Linked DNA regions of Drosophila melanogaster. The protein of the gene in region 1 interacts with the protein of each later gene in a biochemical or structural test. Each region holds a gene or a part of one and is shown in the gene's direction. Other genes may lie near its edges.

Region 1 (5,101 bases):
TTGCAAATTCCTATTGTGTCTACCGCTGCTTTATTTTCCATACCCGACACATCGGAAATAGGAACAAGGTTGTACTTAATTTCCGGTATGGGATCATCGTCGGTATCCTCACAAAGCTGGACAACTGTTTCACCGGAAAAAGTCATCTCGTAGGCGTTGTTCAGCGAAGAGTACTGCTTGTTTGCCGGTTTCAATTGACACTTTGATATATAGTACACGCTATCCACTTGAATGAGGTCGTAGAACTTATCGCACTGTTCCTTGAAGGCAGTGGCCCGAATTTCGCCCGATTCGTCCATTAAATCCATGCTGAACAACTTGCCCTCGCCGCGGGCATTGCTCCAGGTGCGAATGCCGGATTTTGAGGTCACGCGAGCCTTAATCACCCACTTATTTTGGTAGGGACTTAGGCTAGAAATGGGATGTGTCATTCCACTATTAATAGAGGAATTCATTACTATGTTATTATTGTTGTTGTGGCTCGGTTCCTTTTTGGCAATTGGCTTGGAATTAGATGTTACTGCTGGCTTAGGCGCCAGATCCTGCTTGGCTGCATTTTCATACGTAACGGGTTCGCCAATTTTGGACTTAACCTCGGCGCCAGGATTCACCACAGTTAGTTCGGAAATGATGAGAACGCGTCTAAAAGGAAAACATATGTTACTATACTGTCGAAAGTCTGTTTTACAGCGTACTTACTTTCCGGCTCCGTCCTTGCCTACCAGTGAGGTCACATATTTATCTAGCTGGACAATGGTGAACTCCTCTAATTCTCCATTGTGCTGCATCACGTTCAGCTGACTGGCCAGCATCGCATAGCTGTTAAAGTACTTGCCGTCGGAGATTAGGATGCGATAGCGCTCTGAGTCCGCTGCGCTGTTAATCTTCTTGATTGCCAGGATCTGGAGAACCGGGGCATCCACAACCTCGCCATGCATAATGCGCTGTGGCCGGTAGTACGATGTGTTACTATACCAATCCATTATTTTAAGCTGGCATACTTACAGCAATCACACCAGTGGACAAAGATGCCAGGACCATTTTGATTATAAAAATAAGTTGGGCAATTTCACAAGCAAATATAATTCATGCGTCGAGGGCTGGGTACAAAGTGAAGCTAGAAGAGGCGGGAAGGGCTTCTGTGTAATTTTGAATCAGTTGTTGCGGAACTAGTTCAATTTGCTTTCCAGTTAGAGCTGTATTTCAGGGCAGTAAAGTTTTGGTTGCTTAAGAGAAAACATTTATTTTACTTTATTATTACTATTTCCTACAGCAACATATTGAGAATAATTGTCTATTATTTTGACACATAGCTTTAAGCTTGACTTACATTGTTTGTGTTAATGCTCACAACTAGTTATTGTAAGCATTTCTATTTCAATGGAATTATAAATATTTAATAACTGTGTGATATTTTATTGACACATTCTTTGTATTAAAGCCTACATTCAGTGCCTTGTAAACTTTTTAAATTGAATGGTGTAATATATATATTTAAAATTTTTTGTAAGCTCTTTAAACTCGGTGATATTTTATTGACACAAGGAAAGTTGTTACAGTCGGGTGTTCTTATAAACATGTATGCAGAAGCGGGTGTCCACTGTATGACCCAGACGTTAACAGCACTGCTTATCGGAACTAGACCGCAGCCCTGAGTTGGCTCGATTAGCAAACATTTTCCCGCGCATTTTCGCACGCGTCGTCACAACAAGATCGGCGGTACAAAACAAAACATATTACAGATAAACGCTAAGCACAACAGACGCACGTAATGGACAATCCCAGTTCACCACCGCCAAATACGCCCAGCGATGCCGCCGAACGCCGCGATCTGCGGGCAGCAATGACGTCGCCGGTTGGCGACTTTGAGCCGTTCGAGAACGAGGACGAGATCCTGGGAGATCAGACCGTTCGCGATGAGGCCGAGGAGGAGGATGGCGAGGAGCTGTTCGGGGACAACATGGAGAACGATTACCGGCCCATGCCTGAGCTGGATCACTACGATCCGGCGCTGCTGGACGACGAGGATGACTTCTCGGAGATGTCCCAGGGCGATCGCTTTGCCGCCGAGTCGGAGATGCGTCGACGCGACCGGGCCGCCGGAATCCACCGCGACGATCGTGATCTGGGTTTCGGTCAGTCCGATGATGAGGACGACGTTGGACCCCGGGCCAAGAGACGAGCTGGCGAGAAGGCAGCTGTTGGCGAGGTAGAGGACACCGAGATGGTGGAGTCTATTGAAAACCTGGAGGATACCAAGGGACACTCAACTAAAGAGTGGGTCAGTATGCTAGGACCACGCACGGAAATCGCCAATCGCTTTCAATCCTTTTTGAGAACTTTTGTGGATGAAAGGGGCGCATACACCTATCGTGATCGCATACGTCGGATGTGCGAGCAGAACATGTCTTCGTTCGTCGTCTCCTACACTGATCTGGCCAACAAGGAACACGTATTGGCCTATTTCCTGCCCGAGGCTCCCTTTCAAATGCTCGAGATTTTCGATAAAGTGGCTAAGGACATGGTGCTCTCCATTTTCCCCACTTACGAACGTGTCACCACAGAGATTCACGTGCGCATCTCGGAGCTGCCGCTGATCGAGGAGCTGCGCACATTCAGAAAACTGCATCTGAACCAGTTGGTTCGCACTTTGGGCGTGGTAACTGCCACCACCGGAGTTCTTCCCCAGCTATCCGTGATCAAGTACGACTGCGTTAAGTGCGGCTATGTGCTGGGTCCCTTCGTTCAGTCGCAAAATACGGAGATAAAGCCCGGTTCCTGCCCAGAGTGCCAGAGCACTGGACCCTTCTCAATCAACATGGAGCAGACGTTGTATCGAAATTATCAAAAGATCACGTTGCAGGAGTCGCCAGGCAGGATTCCAGCCGGACGCATTCCTCGCAGCAAGGATGTCATTTTGCTCGCTGATTTGTGTGATCAATGCAAGCCTGGAGATGAACTTGAGGTCACAGGTATATATACCAATAACTACGATGGCTCCTTGAACACCGACCAAGGATTTCCCGTGTTTGCCACCGTGATTATTGCCAATCATGTGGTTGTAAAGGACTCCAAGCAGGTAGTGCAGTCGCTTACGGACGAGGACATTGCCACCATTCAGAAGTTGAGCAAGGATCCGCGTATCGTAGAGCGTGTAGTAGCATCCATGGCGCCTTCTATATACGGACATGATTATATCAAGAGGGCGCTGGCCTTAGCTCTCTTTGGGGGTGAGTCAAAGAATCCCGGTGAGAAACACAAGGTTAGAGGTGATATAAACCTACTCATCTGTGGAGATCCCGGAACGGCAAAGTCGCAGTTCCTCAAGTACACCGAAAAGGTTGCGCCACGTGCGGTTTTCACGACTGGGCAGGGAGCCAGTGCCGTGGGTCTCACGGCTTATGTGCGCCGCAATCCAGTATCTCGGGAGTGGACATTGGAAGCGGGTGCTCTGGTTCTGGCTGATCAGGGAGTTTGTCTAATCGACGAGTTCGACAAAATGAACGACCAGGATCGTACCTCTATTCACGAAGCCATGGAGCAGCAGTCTATTTCGATTTCCAAGGCTGGTATTGTCACCTCTCTTCAAGCTCGTTGCACCGTGATTGCTGCTGCCAATCCCATTGGCGGTCGCTATGATCCGTCGATGACCTTCTCGGAGAACGTGAATCTCTCGGAGCCCATCCTGTCCCGTTTCGATGTGCTGTGCGTGGTGAAGGACGAATTTGACCCCATGCAGGATCAGCAGCTCGCCAAATTCGTGGTACACTCGCATATGAAGCATCACCCGAGTGAGGAGGAGCAGCCGGAGTTGGAGGAACCACAGCTGAAGACCGTTGATGAGATCCCGCAGGACTTGTTGCGACAATACATTGTATACGCTAAGGAGAACATTCGGCCCAAGCTAACGGTAAGCGAACTTATTGAAATCACAGGAAAAGTGTAACAACATTTCCGTTTCATACAGAACATCGACGAGGACAAGATCGCCAAGATGTACGCCCAGCTGCGACAGGAGTCTTTTGCCACGGGCTCACTGCCCATTACGGTGCGTCACATTGAGAGTGTCATCCGAATGTCCGAAGCGCACGCGCGGATGCATCTGCGCGAAAACGTAATGGAGGCAGATGTCAGCATGGCCATCCGCATGATGTTGGAGAGCTTTATCGAGGCGCAGAAGTTCAGCGTTATGAAGAAGATGCGCAGCACATTCCAGAAGTACCTGTCCTTCCAAAAGGACCATTCCGAGCTGCTGTTCTTTATTCTGCGACAGCTGACGCTCGACCAGCTCGCCTACATTCGCTGCAAGGACGGGCCTGGCGCCACACATGTGGAGATTATGGAGCGGGATTTGATCGAACGGGCTAAGCAGCTGGATATTGTAAACCTGAAGCCGTTCTACGAATCAGATCTGTTTCGCACAAATGGCTTCTCTTACGATCCCAAGCGACGCATCATCCTTCAAATTGTGGTCGACGGCAACACAGCTTAAGTTTCAGCCATTTACTTCATCTCATTTAGTTATAGTATTCATGTTTTGTTACCCCCATTTTCGGTCTAATAAAGTTTGATATACTTATGTATGTATTTATACTAAAATAGGTATTTGAATTGAAATTTATACTTCCGTAAATATTTTTTATTGTGCATACAAATCAGCCCCAGAGTATGTCAATCGTTGTTCCCTTCGATGCCCATGGCTTTGTCGAAATCTTCCTCGCTAATCTTGTTCTTTTTCAGCCGCTTGAAGAGCCGAATATCGCTGGCCAGTTCATCGAGGTCCTCCTGGCTGAACTGCTGCCTCTTTTTTCCCTTCCCGGACCTGCTCGCCTCCGCCTCTGCCGCTTTCTTTCGCTGCTTCTTCGCCTTGCGCAGCTCCTTCTTAGACTTGGCATCCAGTTTTGCCTTCTTTGTCTGATCCCAGGACTCAACACGCTTTTTGTGCTGCTTTTGGCCCGGCCAGCTTCCCGTTTGCTCGTAAGTTTCCATTTTCTTTTGCCGGACTTGTTCTTTCTGGGCGTTTTTGTAGGTAAGTTTGGATAAATCCACTTCAAAAGCAGGCGCCACATAGCCGCCGCCCTGGTAGTTCTTTAGCTCCGGC
Region 2 (4,643 bases), on another chromosome or scaffold:
GTAATGCAACTAAGGTGTTTTCCCTTTTAATTTATGAAATGTGGCTAGCATATTCTGTAGTAGTATCTAGCGTGAGTAAGTGGTAATCAAATCTTTATCATGAGTACAAATGGACACCTGGTTGAAAATATTTGCCTGATTCTGGCTGTAACAATCAACCGATAGTGATAATATTTAGTGGACTGATAGATAATACAGCTCTCGGCAAATGTGAGTTTTATGACCCTGGTACTGTACGATGAAGTATGTCATCTATTGGTTAATATTTACCCGTAGGTGGTGCGTTTTATGTAGCCAATTCGTTCGGCCAATTTCTTAGCCACATTTATGTCGTTGGGTGCCCCTTTCAGAATGGCGAATCCTTGGACTGCCAGTGCCTCAAGCCAAACTCTCAGGGCTGCATCTTGCTCCAGCACATCCTCGTATTGGAATTCTCTTTTCACATCCTCGAACTCCGTTTTTCCCCAGAGTTGAGCGGGTGGCTTGTAGACCTCCTCCAAGTAATGCTTTCTGCCAGTCTCTCCAAAGTCCCTTTCCCTCAGCCAGCCTAGATCGAAGGTGCTCCTGTGCTTGTCCTGCCAGATGATCTCCAACTGTTTCCTCTCCTTGTTGTAGGCCACTTGGGACACTGGTATATTCAGCGGGCCACGATCCCAGTGACTTTTTCTTGCTCTTGTGGCGGCGTGGAAGCACTCGGCACACTGACAGTTGTCCCTAAGCCAAACTTGGGGGTACTTCAGGAGATTGCCCTGCTCCTCCTGGACTTCTACATAGTCGGGGCATAGTCGCACACAAGCAAATGTGCTCGCCTGCCGAAGAAGGCTCAGCCGAGAAATAAGTTGCCTACAGCTAAGCATTCCAGGCTCAACTGCCGAGCAATCAGGTGATGGCACAACAGGCAGGCTGGCTGATAAGCAAAGCTTCAGCTTATCGCTCGTCTTTCTCTTTGGGGAGCGAGACCACTTGCACTATGGATTGCGGCTGCTCCAACCAGCAGTCTCTTTGACTGTTCGCCGCAAAGCTTCGCCGGCCGCAGCAGAGTGAGCACTCTAAGAAAAAAGAGACCTGTTCAGTACTTTCTTGGATTTGCTCCTCGGATTCCTCCTGGTTGGTGTTCCCTGTTTTCCGGCTTCTGGGCTTCTTGCGCTGCCTGCGATGGCGCTTTTTCTTCGTTTTGACTGCTCCGTTCGATTGAGCTTGTGCATCAGTCTTGGCCTCCTGTGCTCCTTCCTCCACATGCAGCTCCGTATTCACTCCGGGAATCAGGGGAAGGAAACAGCGCCTGCACAGGGAACGCTTCACGGCCGGGGCCCTTGAAACCAGTTGACGCCATGAATTATTTGCCCATACTCCACTGGAGAAGCCACTTACATGTGCATGATAGCCTTGGTGCCCACATTGCGGCAGAGTTTGCCATAATAGGCGGCCAATTTTGGTTGATTGCCTACTGCCATTAAATTCGAGGCCTGGAACAGGTAGTTCATGCGTGAGGAGATGGCCCGCTGGGTCAGGTGCTTCATCTTGTTGTCCCTGCTCATATTCTGAGGCTTTTGTCGCACAAAGCTGGTCGACTGGTAGACTTTCGTTTTTGTGGCAATTCAAAACACATGGGCGTCGCGGTGTGACCGTATCTGGAGCGCCAAGATATTGCTCCTACTGCAATAGCAGCAACTGCAAAGAGCTCTCAAAATTCAACATTATGTGATTATAATTTCGGTTTTTGGCAGCTCAAAATTTCTGGAAATTCGCAGAATATTCTTTTCCCAGCAACGATTGTATTTCCGCGCCATTCCATTATTTCACACTGGTCACACTGGCTAAGCCAGCTGTTTCCCGCGTTTTTGATTCGCCAATTGCGATTGCCAGAAAAGCAAAAGTGGAGCGGCAGTGGGAAGCTGGAAAATAGCGCAAGCCGCAGGGAAACCCTCAAAATGCAACGCACTGCACTCATGTAGAATTCTACTTTGCATCGTAAGCGATTGGAAAGAGACCGTTGTGTCTAGACGTAGACAGATTAGGCAGACGATTGGGATTCCCGCCAGAAGTGTTCACCATGTTTGTCCAGGATCTGCGCAACGACTTTTACCGCCAGCTGGTTGGCAAGCGCATCTTGATCGTGGTCAACTACGACATCGATGCCATCTGCGCCAGTCGCATCCTGCAGGCCTTGTTCAAGTACGATCACATGCTGTACACCGTGGTGCCCATAATGGGCGTTACGGGTCTGAAGCGGGCCTATGGAGAGCACCAGGGCGACGTTAAGTACGTGGTGTTGGTGAACTGCGGCGGCTGTGTAGATATTGTGGAGCTCCTGCAGCCGTCGGACGACGTGACCTTCTTCATATGCGATTCACATCGCCCGTTGGATGTGTGTAACATCTACAGCGATCGGCAGGTGTGCATCTTGGGGGATGCCTCCTTGGAGGAGAATATTCCAGCGTTCGAGACAATTTTCTATGACTCTGAAGGTGAAGACGAGGATGAGGACGAGTCCTCTGACACGGAACAGCAGCACGACGACAGTGGTGCCGGGGAATCGGACCAGGAGGATCAGGCGCCAAGGAGCCGTAAGCTCAGTCGCCTGGAGCGGCACGAGCAACGCATCCTGAAGCAGCGAGCCCGCCGACAGTGGGAGTCTGAGCGCGACAGGATTATGTTCGAGTACACGCAGTTCAGCTACTACGGCAGGTCCGCCGCTTTGATGGTTTTTGAGTTGGCCTGGAAGCTCTCAAAAGACAACATGGACCTGCTCTGGTGGGCCATTGTGGGCATCACGGAGCAGCTGCTGCTGGGCAAGATCGAGAGTGGAGCGTATACTTTGGAGCTGGAGCAAATCCAGTCGCATGTGTCCCGACTGACGAACAAAACGAATGATCAGAACACGATGAGTGCCTCCAAGATAACCTTCGAGAATGATTTGCATCTGGTCTTGTACCGCCACTGGCCCGTCACGGAATCCATGAGGTGAGCATTGACAGTGTATTCTATGCCATTTAATCATGTAGTATAATCGTAGGTATTCCCGCTACTCCTCATGCCAGCTGAAGCTGTGGACACTGCGCGGAGAGAAGAGATTACACGAGCTGCTGCTCGAGATGGGACTTCCCTTGGTGCACGCCCGCCAAACGTACGGAGCCATGGATTTGGTGTTGCGCAAGGAGTTCTTCTCGATGGTGGAGCGCCTGGCGGAGAAGTACGACATAGCGGACATAGTTTACGGCACCTTTACGCTGAGCTACGGCTACCGCAGCAGATATGCTGCGGCGGACTACGTTTATGCCCTGCTCGCCATCATGGAGTCCGTGAAGAAGCACAAGACTCCGGAGGATTGCTTTCTGGAGGCCTCGGATGCTTTGAGTCGTCAGCACAAGCAGCTGCTGTCTGCAGGCATCGACCAGGCGAAGCTTTTGCATGCTGCTGTCTTTCGGCAGGTGCAGAGCAGCTTGGAGGCACGCCAAGTTCATTCAGCGGGCTCCTTTTTCTACTACGTTCTGCAGGAGGAACACGCGTTCTTCTCATACCCCTATGCCCTTGGACTGTTGGCTCGCTTTCTTTTGCGCGGACATGTGGCCACGAGTAGAGCCAGGCAGGCTTCGGACTTGCCGTTGATCGCAAGTTGTCCCCTGAACGCTTCGGAGGGCATGTGCTTGCTGGTAGGCATTGTCCCGGTAAGGGAAGACTCTCCGCGAAACTTCTTTGGCAAGGCCTTCGAGCAGGCGGCGCAAAAGAGTGGAGTCGCTCTATTGCAGGACTTTTTCGAGCCAGCGGTGGTGCAGCTGCGGCAGAGCGACCTCACACGCTTTCTGGACTCCCTCACGGTGCTGTTAGCCTAATCCACGCCGCTTTCTATTCTACCTGCTACCGACACATCCCTGCTCAATCATATTATGTGCTAAGCTAGTTTTATATCGCGAGACCTCACGTGTACACTTAGTTTAAGATTTTACCAAACCCTATTTATGTACGATTGTGTGTTAATAACTTTATCATTGCTCCCAGGACCACAAAATGCAAAATGTCCTTTTTCAAAAACTAATTGTAAATTTGACCTAGAATAATAAATTTAAATTAAAGTGTTTACCATGGAATTAAAAGTGTCGATTCACGTCTAAAATTTACTCGGCGCTTAAATTTATGAAAACGTATTTACCATGCTATCTATACATGCCGTGTTGGCAGTTGGACTGCCTTCTTACATTTGGTTTATTTTCTGGCTCAGAGGAAACATCATTAGCTAACCAGATTTGCGGCTTGAGCTTGCTGCGTCTGTGCGTTTTTTTTCTTTAGGGGATTAGCGCTGAGGATGCGGGCCGAACCCAAACAAGCTGTGTCGTCATAGAATACGGCATATTGTCCTGGTGTAATAGCTCTTAAAGGAGCGTCCAACTCGACAAGAAAAGTGTTACTGGGAGAGATGCTCAGCTGACAGTCCACCAATGGTTTGGTGTGCTGGAATCGAAAGCGACACCTCAAGCTGCCAGTGTCCGAAAGAATCTGTTGGGACTTGGAACACAGCCAGTTGGGCGGATCGACGGCTATGTGGGTGCTGAGAAGGGCGGGATGGTTGTGGCCAGATGCCACATAGATGGTATTGCTTGCGGCCTCTTTCCTGGCCACAAAATAGGGCTGAAGGAATGAGCTCA

Evidence for each region. The genes of interacting proteins can lie anywhere in the genome.
Region 2: the proteins of Mcm2 (region 1) and Cdc45 form a complex in vitro, tested with the Drosophila melanogaster proteins (one study listed by BioGRID).

What each region holds. Positions count from the first base shown.
Region 1 is NT_033777.3:8,263,330-8,268,430, forward strand, and holds Mcm2 (minichromosome maintenance 2), read left to right. Parts: upstream 1-1,640; 5' UTR 1,641-1,771; coding exon 1,772-3,910; intron 3,911-3,967; coding exon 3,968-4,492; 3' UTR 4,493-4,595; downstream 4,596-5,101. Other genes in the region: RPA1 (replication protein A1), read right to left, coding at 1-642, 700-944, 1,006-1,041; CG9630 (uncharacterized protein), read right to left, coding at 4,672-5,101. UniProt on the Drosophila melanogaster protein: Acts as a component of the MCM2-7 complex (MCM complex) which is the replicative helicase essential for 'once per cell cycle' DNA replication initiation and elongation in eukaryotic cells.
Region 2 is NC_004354.4:1,027,738-1,032,380, reverse strand, and holds Cdc45 (cell division cycle 45), read left to right. Parts: upstream 1-1,824; 5' UTR 1,825-2,053; coding exon 2,054-2,964; intron 2,965-3,016; coding exon 3,017-3,833; 3' UTR 3,834-4,090; downstream 4,091-4,643. Other genes in the region: CG14630 (uncharacterized protein), read right to left, coding at 271-857; Rpp21 (ribonuclease P/MRP subunit p21), read right to left, coding at 928-1,312, 1,372-1,538; CG3021 (uncharacterized protein), read right to left, coding at 4,231-4,643.